3 linked regions of the Saccharomyces cerevisiae S288C genome follow. The main gene of each other region encodes a partner of the protein of the gene in region 2 in a complex. Links are inferred from orthologs where the notes say so. Each region holds a gene or a part of one and is shown on either strand. Other genes may lie near its edges. A codon is read from its position in the direction of its gene.

What was found.
Region 1: the proteins of RIP1 (region 2) and QCR8 are in contact, whole or in part, in a cryo-EM structure (PDB 8ABI), measured with the Yarrowia lipolytica proteins. The link is inferred for Saccharomyces cerevisiae S288C from one-to-one orthologs. Residues at the interface, in XP_499709.1 of Yarrowia lipolytica: Thr42, Ile45, Pro46, Phe48, Thr49, Pro50, Tyr51, Leu52, Lys53, Arg56, Asn61, Arg62, Ser65, Tyr66; in XP_504875.1 of Yarrowia lipolytica: Ala23, Tyr25, Thr26, Ile27, Phe30, Ala31, Ala32, Arg33, Ala36.
Region 3: the proteins of RIP1 (region 2) and QCR9 are in contact, whole or in part, in a crystal structure (PDB 4PD4), measured with the Saccharomyces cerevisiae proteins. Residues at the interface, in NP_010890.3 of Saccharomyces cerevisiae: Asp48 (codon at 4,981), Asp50 (codon at 4,987), Lys51 (codon at 4,990), Arg53 (codon at 4,996), Ser54 (codon at 4,999), Tyr55 (codon at 5,002), Tyr57 (codon at 5,008), Phe58 (codon at 5,011), Gly61 (codon at 5,020), Gly64 (codon at 5,029), Leu65 (codon at 5,032), Leu66 (codon at 5,035), Ser68 (codon at 5,041), Ala69 (codon at 5,044), Lys72 (codon at 5,053), Ser73 (codon at 5,056), Glu76 (codon at 5,065); in NP_011699.1 of Saccharomyces cerevisiae: Ser2 (codon at 698), Phe3 (codon at 695), Ser4 (codon at 692), Tyr7 (codon at 683), Lys8 (codon at 680), Arg13 (codon at 665), Asn14 (codon at 662), Ala15 (codon at 659), Val16 (codon at 656), Ile21 (codon at 641), Phe22 (codon at 638), Gly24 (codon at 632), Ala25 (codon at 629), Phe26 (codon at 626), Phe28 (codon at 620), Gln29 (codon at 617).

What each region holds. Positions count from the first base shown.
Region 1 is NC_001142.9:104,916-107,218, reverse strand, and holds QCR8 (ubiquinol--cytochrome-c reductase subunit 8), read right to left. Parts: upstream 786-2,303; coding exon 501-785; downstream 1-500. Other genes in the region: protein kinase HAL5, read left to right, coding at 1-325; ERG20 (bifunctional (2E,6E)-farnesyl diphosphate synthase/dimethylallyltranstransferase), read right to left, coding at 1,147-2,205. UniProt on the Saccharomyces cerevisiae protein: Component of the ubiquinol-cytochrome c oxidoreductase, a multisubunit transmembrane complex that is part of the mitochondrial electron transport chain which drives oxidative phosphorylation.
Region 2 is NC_001137.3:102,421-110,454, forward strand, and holds RIP1 (ubiquinol--cytochrome-c reductase catalytic subunit RIP1), read left to right. Parts: upstream 1-4,839; coding exon 4,840-5,487; downstream 5,488-8,034. Other genes in the region: YEL025C (uncharacterized protein), read right to left, coding at 161-3,727; YEL023C (uncharacterized protein), read right to left, coding at 6,084-8,034. UniProt on the Saccharomyces cerevisiae protein: Component of the ubiquinol-cytochrome c oxidoreductase, a multisubunit transmembrane complex that is part of the mitochondrial electron transport chain which drives oxidative phosphorylation.
Region 3 is NC_001139.9:858,563-861,120, forward strand, and holds QCR9 (ubiquinol--cytochrome-c reductase subunit 9), read right to left. Parts: upstream 915-2,558; coding exon 912-914; intron 699-911; coding exon 501-698; downstream 1-500. Other genes in the region: protein translocase subunit TIM13, read left to right, coding at 1-42; E3 ubiquitin-protein ligase UBR1, read right to left, coding at 1,339-2,558. UniProt on the Saccharomyces cerevisiae protein: Component of the ubiquinol-cytochrome c oxidoreductase, a multisubunit transmembrane complex that is part of the mitochondrial electron transport chain which drives oxidative phosphorylation.

The DNA.
Region 1 (2,303 bases), on a different chromosome or scaffold from region 2:
TCTGGTAGATTGTTGGAGTTGTGGTATTGTTTACTGTACAATGGTCATGGGACAGTATCTTTGGAAAATCGCCATTCCTGAAAAGGATTCTCTTTTTAAATCATTTCTCAGTGAAATTAAAGATGATGGACAGTTTTATCTATTTGAGGAATTAAGACATGTTAGTAGCGAACTGAATAGGTTGAGGAAAATTGCACTATATAGAACGTTCCAGGTCGACCCCACGAAGAGAATCACCATTGAACAATTACTACAAAGCTCCTGGATGAGGAAAACAAAATGCTGTGTAGTTTATAGACACTTACATACCAAGGTTAGTAAATAAAGATATACAAAACAAAAAATGCTTAAGTATTTATTATTACTGATACTGTAAGTAAATAAATAGACTGACTGAATAAATATATGGGGGTTATTTGCTCTTGTTTTATAAACAGAATATATATGTAAGTTTTTAGAAGATCAAAAGATCGATGTAATGTAGAGGCATGGAAACAATATTAAACATTAACTCTTTCCAGCTCTTCTCTACCAGCTTTGCTGTACAGAAATTCATTATACTCGTTACCGTTCTTCCACCAGTACCAATAAATTCCCGCAGGTATTAATACATATAGAAATTGAGACTTAAATCTTCTAAAACTATTGAATACAGCGTTATGGAAAATACCTTGTAATGGCTTTTGAGCATATGGAGACACAGCATATGAGGTTATACCTTTTTGCTTTGGACCACCCATGTGACCCCACCATCCCATGTAAGTTTTACCGCTTGGAGGACCCATTATCGTAGAAGTTTTTGTGTAGTGTTTTGTTGATTATTTGTATTTAACGTACGACAACTTACTCTTAATCGGACTTGCTCAAGTAAACAATGTTCGAGAGATGAGGTCGTTGCTTTTCCTATTATTATATGAATAAAATTTGGGGGGTGGCTCAAGTTTCCTTCTCGTACTACCCGTAATTTCCGATCACGCATTTCTTCATTTTCATTGGCTTAAAAAAAATCCTTGGACTAGTCACGTGGAACGGTAGATCGAGAGATACTATCTTAAAGCTTATACTATATTATATTGGAAGTATATAGTTCTTATACATGGTCCTTATCTAGTTTGAAATCTAATGTTTTATCGATTAGCGTTAGTTCTATTTGCTTCTCTTGTAAACTTTGTTCAAGAACGCAGTTAAGACATCAGCTTTGAAGCCACGAGACTCATCGACCTGAGAAATTTTGGCCTTCAAATCCTTGGCAATAGACTCTTCATATTCGTGGTATAGCTGTTCAATTTTCAAGTCATTGAAAATCTTTTTGCATTTGGCTTCTGCGACTGAGTCCTTCTTACCGTAATTTTCGTCTAAAGTCTTTCTTTGTTCTGCGGAAGCAAGTTCCAATGCCTTGTTGATTACCCAAGAACATTTGTTATCTTGGATATCTGTACCGATCTTACCGATCTGTTCTGGGGTACCGAAGCAGTCTAAGTAGTCATCTTGAATTTGGAAGTATTCACCCAATGGAATCAAGACATCTCTGGCTTGTTTCAAATCCTTTTCATCCGTGATACCGGCAACGTACATGGCCAATGCGACAGGCAAGTAGAAAGAATAGTAAGCAGTCTTGAAAGTAACTATGAAGGAGTGCTTCTTTAGGGAGAACTTACTCAAGTCGACTTTGTCTTCAGGTGCAGTGATTAAGTCCATCAATTGGCCCAATTCGGTTTGGAAGGTGACCTCATGGAACAATTCGGTGATATCTATGTAGTATTTTTCGTTTCTGAAGTGAGATTTCAAAAGCTTGTAGATAGCAGCCTCTAACATGAATGCGTCATTGATGGCAATTTCCCCAACTTCAGGAACCTTGTACCAACATGGTTGGCCTCTTCTGGTAATGGACTTGTCCATCATATCATCGGCGACCAAGAAGTAAGCCTGCAACAACTCAATGCACCAACCTAGAATGGCAACCTTTTCGTATTCTTCTTGCCCCAATTGTTCAACGGTCTTGTTGGAGAGAATAGCATACGTGTCCACAACGGACAAACCTCTATTTAGCTTACCGCCTGGAGTGTTGTAGTTCAATGAGTGGGCATACCAGTCACATGCTTCCTTAGGCATACCGTAAGCCAAAAGCGATGCGTTCAATTCCTCTACTAATTTAGGGAAAACGTTCAAGAATCTCTCTCTCCTAATTTCTTTTTCTGAAGCCATTTCTACGTAATATTTTTGAGTTTATTGTGCCTATGTCAGTCCAATACCTGTTGGTTGAGTTTTTAAAGTTAAAATGAAAACTGATAGAAGAACAATCT
Region 2 (8,034 bases):
TTTGTTAGTGGTATGATATATGTCATATCTTCATTGAATAACCTACTCGAGTGCATCTGTAAATGCACAAACATGTATTATCAATTGAGCTGTAGTAATTTAGGCATAACAAAAAGGTGCAAGATCTCATGGCACCTATTCGTTCGTAGGAGATTTATTGTCACCTTTTTAGTTTTACAGGATCGAAAAAATCTATGGTCTTGTATGGTGAATGATCTATATGTCTTCTCTTTGAATTTCTAGCTAGCTCATCAAAGCCGCTTTCATTTATTCCAGTCTCTTTACTCACGGAATATTGTTTAGTAACATTTCGCATGCTTTTCTCAGACCTTCGAAAAGCTCTTTTACATTCGAGCTTGATCTTTTTGTAATCATGCAACGTTCTCATCCACAGCTCACCAATGAATTCCGATATTATATAAATTTGGCCCTCAGTACCGCAAAGTAAAAATAGAGGTATGACGCCTTCCAACCTTTGACTATTGAAATTTGGACATATTTGAAGGTTTTGAAATCCATCTGGGATGGCCGCCAGTGAGATTATCTTATTAGGTAACCGAATTTTGAGGTATGGCATAGCCAACCCGCCCTTATCAACTGATAATTTAGAATCTTCGTATATTGTCAAGGTATTATCAATACCAATGGTGGCAACATAAGATCTATTGGAATATTTCAACGTTGCACAAGAAAGGTCTGATAATCGACCTAATAGATAGTTCTTATCACTCGCTAAACAATCGTTTTTAGGTTCTCTTAGCTTCTTAGGAATTATTTTAGTCGCCACTTGTGTAATGCTTCCCAACCGCTTAAAACCCAAGTAGGGACATTCAGGGTACTCTGATGGATATACTATGGACGTCCTAATTGGAAAGCGGGTTCTCAAAAAATCTCTCAAGATCTCAAATTGAACCAGATAATCACCACTCATATAAGCTGGAAGACCTATATGGTTAATCGATGAAAGTGCTGGGAAGGAATAGGCCTCTAAAATTTCCGCGCCCTCTTTTAGCATGTTTATTTTATATGCTGCTATGCCACTATCACCAGAAAATAAAACCAAGTTGCACTCATAGTATATGAACACCGAGAATATACAATCTTCGAGATAATTCGCGTACAATTGGGTAATGTTATTGTTTCTAATTTCAAACAGCCAGAATTTTGTACGTTTTTCACCAACTCCTAAGCATACAACAAACTTATTACCATAAAAGGGTCTCTGTGATAAGTAGATTGAGTTTTGTTCTGGCCACAGTGGCTTCACAACGGCATGTAAATACTTTTCATCCGAGAAACTGAATGTGGAAACTGCCTTCATTGAAGCATAATTGAATAGCATCAACTTATACTGCCTACTATTGCTATCGACCAAACACACCACGGCCTGATTGAGGTTATTTGGAACAGTATAGAGCTCTACGGGAATGCTAGGGAGGTAAAAGATATGATTTTCTAATTGAGGTTTTAATGAAGTCATCTGCTTAGTGAAACCTTCACGGTAAAACGTGCTACCAAACTCAAAGATGCTTATTCGAGAATCATAATCTAAAACACAAAGAGAGAACAGTGCTTTACCGGGTCGAATTCTCATTCGTCTTGGAACTAAGCCTAACTGTATGCAACCATAAGACATGTTTTGAAGATTTAACAAAATTATTTCCTTATCGTTGTAAAGGAAAACCAAAGGTAAGGAAGGAATCGTATCCAACAGTTCTAATTTCTGATCGTATAACGAATGAATCTCTAAATCCACTCTCAAAAAATTTGATTCTGATTTGTAGACTCTTACGCAGCCAGTGTATGATGATGCGATGACATAAATCGAGTCGTGTTTATGCTTTTTGCTTAGCCAAGATATTTTTATCAATTGATCATAGGCTATGAAAGAATAGTCTGGATGTGATGTAGCCACTTTCTTTTGATTGGCATTCCATACCGAAAACACACCGTCCAAGTAAATGACAAAAAGGTATTTCTCGGCACCATCTGAGAAACAGCTCACAATACTCTCTTTAGAATTGAGCCCATGGATAAAAAATTCTTCTTTTTTACGTAGAAAACCAGATTTTGCCTCAAGTATCGAAATCCTGAGCTTGGAGTTCTGTACGGGATAACAAAACATGGTGGAAGAGTTGTGGTTCGACTGCAAGAAATCGACCTGCCTAAATTCTCCGGTAGAACCATCCATACCGGCTTTCAAAACTTTTCCCGTCCTAGAAACAAATAGACCGTAATCATAAGGCTCATCCATTAAAAATATTCCGTTCTTATAAATCAACCCACCTGATTCATATGCAAATTCGTCACCACCATTAAGTGCTAAATCTGTAACCCAAAAATCAGTTACATTCTCTACTAGCGCTTTGGAGGAAGTCACTAACTTGAACAGGGTTTTGTCATATACCAAAATTTTCTTTTCTAAAAATCCTCTTCTTGAGTTAAAACTTCCACCCAAAAGCAGTGAATCAATATCTGTCCCCTTGTTTCCAATAACTTGTGATGCCAGGTAAACTTTGTTTGTATAAGCGGGACCGCTTTTCACCTTTTCTAATTTTGAACCTCGATGATCTTTCGATATAAAATTTACTCCATTTATTCTTGTCACCGCTATATACTTTTCACGTGGGAGCTGCAAAATAACATCGCATAGATCATGTTTAGGAGGCTTGAACACTCTTTCTTTTGTCCATTGTAGTTCTTTCAGGACGTGGTCTCTATGTAACGACCTAGTGTGTATCTTGGCAGTGTATTTGTTAGCATACACGTCAGAAATTGTCAAGAGAATGACTGATCTTTCATATATCACATCATAAGAATCTTTTAGAAATTGGTAGTTTTCTACATTTGGGAGACCTTTATTATTGAAAAAAGCCCCGTTTGTAAGCCCACTTGCTTTTATATTTATTATTTGAGTGTAGTTAGTAGTCAACACTACAATGGTATGGCCGCAAACTACCTTCATATAACAAAATTCATTATCACATATCGGCAAAAGATTGTATTGGCGGTACTCGTTTAAATCAAATTTCCTACTTCCATGCTTTCCAGCAAGATTGTATTCCTTTAAAAACAGGTTTTCACTATAGCAACTCTTAAGTAGGCAAAGAAAATAAACGTGTGATTTACCTGTGCATGTGGCGTCGTCAAGCAAATCCTCCCTGCTAATAAAATCAAAGGAGATAATTTCTTCGCCATCGGTGGCATAAAATCTTTCGACTATTCCTTCTCTGAAGTCAAAGGAGTAAATTGTCGTACATAACGTATGCAAATCACTATCATATGATATGTTTTTATTGCAAGTGTATAAAACACCCTCAAAGGAAGCATTTAACCAGCTGGAAGTTAATAAAGAAATAGTATCCAGTTTCGGAGCCACATTAGAGTCGTAGATAATTTCAAATTTGTTATTTTCGCATTTGAATCCCTTAATGGAACCGTCGTTAAACATTAGCAGGTGACAGAAGGAAGCTGACATGAACATCGGTACAGTTGCGTAGTTAACAACGAACGGTCCATCTAAAGCGAACTCAACCTTCGCTTTCAATTCGTTGGACGTTCCGGTATACAATCCATAGCTAAAACATAAAAAGTAACTTCCTTCGTGATGAAGACAACTTACCAGCTTCTCAGCCTCATCTTTTGATCTATAAGATGTTATGCATAAAGGTAAAAAGGCCGAATTGCTATCCAATTTTTTGCAGTCCGTTTCATCTTGTCTTGCCATTTTACGTGGCAATGGCTAGTGCAATATGCAATGCGCTAACGCTGACATTATAACACAATATATTTTTCTACCCTCCCTTTCGCTGAGTTGCGACCAGAATGTCTGTTTTTCAGTCATGTATTTCTTTCCGCTTTAGGCGTTCAGGCAAGCGCGTTCAGTTGAAAGCAAATAGAACCTATAACGACGAATACGCTTAAAGGAAGTATACAGGAAATAGAAAAAGAAGCGTACTGCATGTACTAAAAACCAAAAAAAACACCACATCGGCTCTCTGGTTGTATCCATACTTTCCCTAAAATTTTGTAACTCAAGAAAATACCTACATAAAACGATAATCAGTGGATTGCACTGATCAAGTCGAAAAACTCCGTACATGCCCGTCTATCCCTGTCTCATCCATATAAACTGAACTAGGTAGAAAAAAATACCTACCCTTTCTTTAACCGCCTGGTATATTAAATACCATTGTCAATTGAGAAGCTAACAGCCATTGTAAGAGTTATGTCCAGTGTCCGACTAAGACAAGGTAACCATACGTTGATAGCTATGAATACCCCAGAGGAAGATTATTCTTTCTCATAAATCCTTTTTATTGGTTTCAAAAATCCACCAATAAGTTCATATAGCTTGGGCGGCTATTCATGCGTAATATAATGTGCATGAAGTACGACCCATCGACTCTTAGAGCAAATGCTTCCTAAATTGAAATAACTAGCCGCCTTTAATTCGAGCCTTCTTGTCATCTTGTGTATTTCATCCTTTCAACTTCTCCTGTTCCACCTTTCACTCTAAGCTTCCCTATCATTTGGCCTCTTTCAGGTTCGTCCATAGCGCATCTTTTTCCTTTTAGACACTCCATAACGGACCAATCAGCGTTTTGCGCCATTTATCGGTCTTGGGTCACGTGCGGCGACGCGGAGGCTCCCTTATAAGGACTGGAAAAAGACCTGCAAGAACTATAGTTGGTTCTTGAATATCAAGTAATATATTACTTCTCTGTCGTAACTTTTTGTTGCTTTCAAGTTCAACGTCTTTTAAAAACCAAGAAATTATTGAACATAAATAATATCACTCTAACACTTATTAGGAAACCGAAAGGAGCAATAACAAACATGTTAGGAATAAGATCATCTGTCAAGACCTGCTTCAAGCCAATGTCTTTAACTTCCAAAAGACTGATTTCTCAATCTTTGCTGGCTAGCAAATCCACGTACAGGACCCCAAATTTTGATGACGTTTTAAAGGAAAATAACGATGCTGATAAAGGCCGTTCTTATGCTTACTTTATGGTCGGTGCTATGGGTCTTTTGTCATCTGCAGGTGCCAAATCAACCGTAGAAACCTTTATTTCATCTATGACCGCTACTGCCGATGTTTTGGCTATGGCTAAAGTTGAAGTTAATTTAGCGGCTATCCCATTGGGTAAAAACGTGGTTGTCAAATGGCAAGGTAAGCCTGTGTTCATTAGACACAGAACTCCTCATGAAATTCAGGAAGCCAACAGTGTGGATATGTCCGCTTTGAAGGACCCACAGACCGATGCTGACAGAGTCAAAGACCCTCAATGGTTAATTATGCTGGGTATTTGTACTCACTTAGGTTGTGTTCCAATTGGTGAAGCCGGTGATTTTGGTGGTTGGTTCTGTCCTTGCCATGGTTCACATTATGATATTTCCGGTAGAATCAGAAAGGGACCTGCCCCCTTAAACTTAGAAATTCCTGCTTATGAATTCGATGGTGATAAGGTCATTGTTGGTTAGGTTTGTTTTTCGTCCTCGAAAACTACATCTTTATTGTCTATTTGTTTCACCCTTATTTTGATTTTTCATTTACTATCCATTATGTTATGAACGGGAACTATACAACTAACCTAAGAATTTTGAAATCACAACAAAAATAATCAACATCACAGTCTCGAAGGGATTACGCTCAAAAAGGAACGAAAATCACTATACTGTATTCCCTGTTGATTTTCCTAAGAATATATTCTTATACAATATGGAGAAAACAAAAGGATAAGAAAAGAAAGGGGAAATAAAGAAGATTTGGACCTATTTATTACTACTTTTTTGTCTCACCATCTTCTTTTTCTATTCATAATATTTGATATTCCTTTATTTATCTGCATGTATTTATAATTAACGAAACTATTTATCTTCCCTCGTCCTGCCTTATCCTTCTTTTCTCCAAATGTTTTACCTAAGATTGGCCTGTATTTGAATATTGATGTCCAGAAGCAGAAGATTTCACATGTTGTATAAAGTATACAAGATTGTAAAAATGATTGAAGTATTTTTATATATGTATATTACCTATAAAATTTTTTATATTACGTACCGAAGGGGTTTTTTTAATGCTAAAGCGATTCATCTTGCTGTAGGTATATTTTTAAATCATCTGGAATATCTGTCCAGGAATTACTATCCCAGTCCATGAATTTCTTTTTTAATTGGGAGTATTTACTGTCAAATAATCTTGAATTGTATGTCGTTGCAAAATAACTTGCTTTTTGACCCATGTGGAGTTCCTGCCCTTCCTCATTATCAAAAAAGCCCCCATTGATTTCACTCCCGTTGCTATTATCTTGCTTATCATATTTATTTGAAACTTTATTACTTTTTAAATCAATACCTTCCAAATCTTGGAACAATTGCCTTACATATTCCGGCATATTGTCCGGTCTATACCTACGATCAAACTTAATTCTCCAATAGACTGACCAATGTAAACTGACATATTCGGGTACATAACGAGATCTTCCGAGGTTAGGTGTATGAAAATTTTGCCACTTTCCTTCTTTATTTTCCATTCGTATTCCAATGGGGAGCAGTTCCAATACCCACCACACCAATCTCATAAATTTATTTGCATGTCCACATTTAAGAGTAAAAGCATCCTTCACTTTTTCTTTTTCATCTTTCAAGCTCAATCTAGTCTCTTTTATATTTTTTAGACAATCTTCCATTCTCTCATTTCTGCCAGATTTATCCTCTCGGGCTCCATCCTCATTATCACTCACTCCTAGTAGGGAACATTTCTTTGGTGAGTTGAAACTAAGGTAATCATGTGTGTCTGCGAATAAAGATCCAATCGAAGTGTGTTTGGTAGCGAAATCATGTATTGCACCAGGTTTGAATTTAACACCAAATTTGATTGCCTCTGCTAAAATCCATCGCAGCGTTAAATTTGACAAGTTCTCTTCTGTCTCACAGTCAGGCGCCCAACCTCCACCAACGTCAGAATGATCACCTGGAAACCATTTTTCAATCAAGTCGGGTGTCATAGTCATTCTACTTGATGTACCGCTGCCTTGGATAGATTGAAGTTGGAAAATGGCTTCAATTCCTCTTGTTGAACATTCTGTATCTCTCGCGTATGAATTACCTTCTAAGAATGAGTTCAGGTCCAACAGCAACTCTGTAGTTTCCTCGCTTTTGCTCGATAACAACCTTCCAGGGTTATCAGGAATGAGTGGAGAAGGATTACTAATAGAATGTGCGCCACTTTTTAAAGTGTATTTTATCAAAGGATTTTCCGGGGTTAGATCACGCATTAATGCATTAGAAGTTGGCACCGGCGAACACTGGTCAGTTATATGATTACAATATGTCAATGAAAATAGTTTCGGAATGTACGGCATCGGAGTGAAACATAACTGCTTGAATTTTCCACGTCTTTCATCCAAGGATACGCAATGTCGAACATGCTCAACGATATTGCTTCTCTGGGTGCAAGGAAACAACCTGTCCCTTAATATTCCAACTGAGTTCACAGAATCGAATAAGCCTTGAAAATGTATCTTTACCTCGTAATCCCTAGAGAATGTTTTCTTGAATTCTTCAGCCAAGGTACTTGTGTACTGTAATTCATTAGGCTGCGAATCGTATTCCCATTTTTCATAGATTTGCCATGCCATTTTAACCATTTCTTCCAAACCTTTACTCAAAAGTCCGACTCTTTCAATCATTCCAGCAAGAACTCTTGCAATAAAAGCTCCTCTAGAAAAGCCAAACATATAAATTCTATCTCCTGGTTCAAAATACTTCATCAAAAAAAGATATGCAGAACATATGTGATTGTCTAAACTGAATGCGAACATAGAATCTAATAAATTTTGTAAGTGAGAAATAGTTAACCGTCTTCTGACATCAACAACAGCGTCAAATCCAACTGAACCAATTCCAGGTTGGTAATAACAAATTTGTTCAGAACTATCACCGTTCTCAAGAAGGTTGTACAATTTTAAAATATTAGTGAATGGCTGAGGTCCAAAATTTTCTCTTGTTCCATCAAAACAAAGAATGATA
Region 3 (2,558 bases), on a different chromosome or scaffold from region 2:
ATCTCCAGAATCCAGAACGCCTCCGCTTCTGGCGAAATCTAAACACACCATCAGGATCAATTTACTGCGCAGTATGTACTCGTACTTGTATATAAGATTCAAAGGATACCAAGAAAATGCTATTACGTTTAATAACGTCGAAGAACAGTATTGCACTATACTTGCTTGGTATAGATATGTACAAAATATATGTATATACATAAAATGAGTTATTCTTTTTCCTAATTCTCTTTTTCCTTTAGTAGAATATAAAATTATAATAAGGATTTTGTGAACATCTGACAGACAGGCTCGTTCGTGTCTATTTCCATTCTGAAATTTGAATGCGCTTTGGCGAGACATAGATTTGTGTCAAAATATGAAGTTGAGTGCCTTTATGAGGTTGGGTTGAACATGAACAACCAGCCAAAATAAAAAAATAATAAATAAGACGAGTGCCACTTATATAGCTTGAGAGAGAGAGAGAGCGTTTGCACGTATATGTGTGACATAATCAGCGTTTACTCATCATCGTCGTCTCCATCGCCTGCAGCTATTCGAGCCTTGACATCTTTCCATAATTTTCCTTTGTTGTGATTCTCGTACCATGAAGTAATAGCAGTATCAAATACAGTTTGGAAAACAAAGGCACCTGCAAAGATAGTACCAACAAAAACAGCGTTTCGTTTGAAAAAGGTTTTATATAGTGATGAAAAAGACTACTCATAATTTATGCATTGTTAGTAACCTGAATGGAAACGCATGGAACATATTCATAGAGCTGCTGTCACCAATTTCATAAGCTTCGCTAAGTCGTTGCGCTCATCGGTGGGAAACTAATTTCCAAAGCCCATGATACTTGGCTAAGGAAGATTCCACGGATAACATTTTTAGCCTGAAATGTGAAGCAGCACACACACACACCAACATACCATTTTAGTCCGTATTGCTATTGTTGCTTTACGAAATTGCGAAGGATATGAAAATCAACCTTCAACGATTATTGACTATCCGTGACAGGACATTAAATACAACTGCTAAGCTAAAGTTTGAGAGGGGATGTCATTAGGGAAAGGCCCAAGGATTGAGCAGCTTTTAGGTCCTAGAATTCTTTCGGCATTGACTTCCCCGCGTTTGATTGGGTCGTGTATAATGATACATATTAACAACTGGGGAGTTCAAAAGTTGCCTTCGCTAGATAAGGAAACTTATGATAGTCACTTCGAAGTATTTGTAATTAGGTTGGTATTACTTCTTTGTTAATAATAAATAAAAGTCAATCGACGCGCAAATGTTTAATAATGTATAAGTTTTTATATACAAATATGTCAACTATAAAACATAGTAGAGGGCTTGAATCTACCAAATCTCTCGCTCATCAGAGTCATCATTATCATCAGAGTCATCCTCATCGAGGTTTCTTGGATTTGTATTTCTTATGATAGTAGCTCCATCAAATTGAGGTCCTAAGAACTGCAATATTGGTGGGGGATTCTGAGGTGCATCATCATCGCCATTTCCCTGCGGTTGTAGAGTGTTCCTAAAGTTTTCGAAGAATTGGAAAAAATCACGTACTCCGCCACCAGCAATACCTTCTGCGCCAACCCCAAATAAGTTGGCGGCCTGTCCAGTTTCATCATCAACATCCATTTCGTCATTTCCCTCCGTAAAAAACCCGTCTTCTCCCTCTTCCATATCTTCATCATCTTCATCTGTTGGAGGTATTCTTCTTGGCCTTGGTTCTCTATTAAATGCAAACAAGAAACCATTGGAAAGTATAGTCACTCGAAATTCGTCACCCATTACTCTACTAATATAACCTGGAATTTCATTGTTAATCCATAATCTGTTTAAGTGCTCATATCTTTTCAAATTCAAGGTGGTTAAATCACCTCTTCTCATGGCATTTCTACCAACTTCACCATGCGAATTTAGATATGGTGCAGATATAAAAATATTAGAAGGAGGCTGTGTCAAATGGAGACAAACTTCACTTGAATTGGGCATCAGGAAGGCGCCAAATGGTTTAAAACAATTTTTATTCAAATGCTTGGTCATTTCATGGCGGTCCGCTCTTAAATGCACTTTGACACCACATGTCAAACATATTTTGAAATCTAATCGATTATCCGCATTCTTCATATGCTGAGAACGCTCTTCACGTAGCTTGATTTCCTTAGATTGGGTAACGTAAGTATTCAAATATTTTGATAAATCTATCAGTTTTATAATCCCACAATATTCATATGGGATGTTCTCCAAATATGGATGCGATACAATGGACTCCTGCGTTGTCAAAAGATCGACTAAGGATTCTTTTTCAGTAATCATTTTCAATGCCTTATTGACAAACTCGGCGGTATCTTCGAATTCCAGTTCTTCTTCAACCTCATGACCGTTGATGACCAGCGTTTCATTTTCAGAATCTTTCACTAATTCGTGTAGCACTTTGATAAAGACTAAGCACCTTCTTATCGTAGGAAGAAGACTCTTCAACAGGAAGGTATAAGCTAGATCATAAATAATACTTTCGGAGTCCAATCCCTCCATTCGTACATCAGATATGGTCCTTAGGGCGA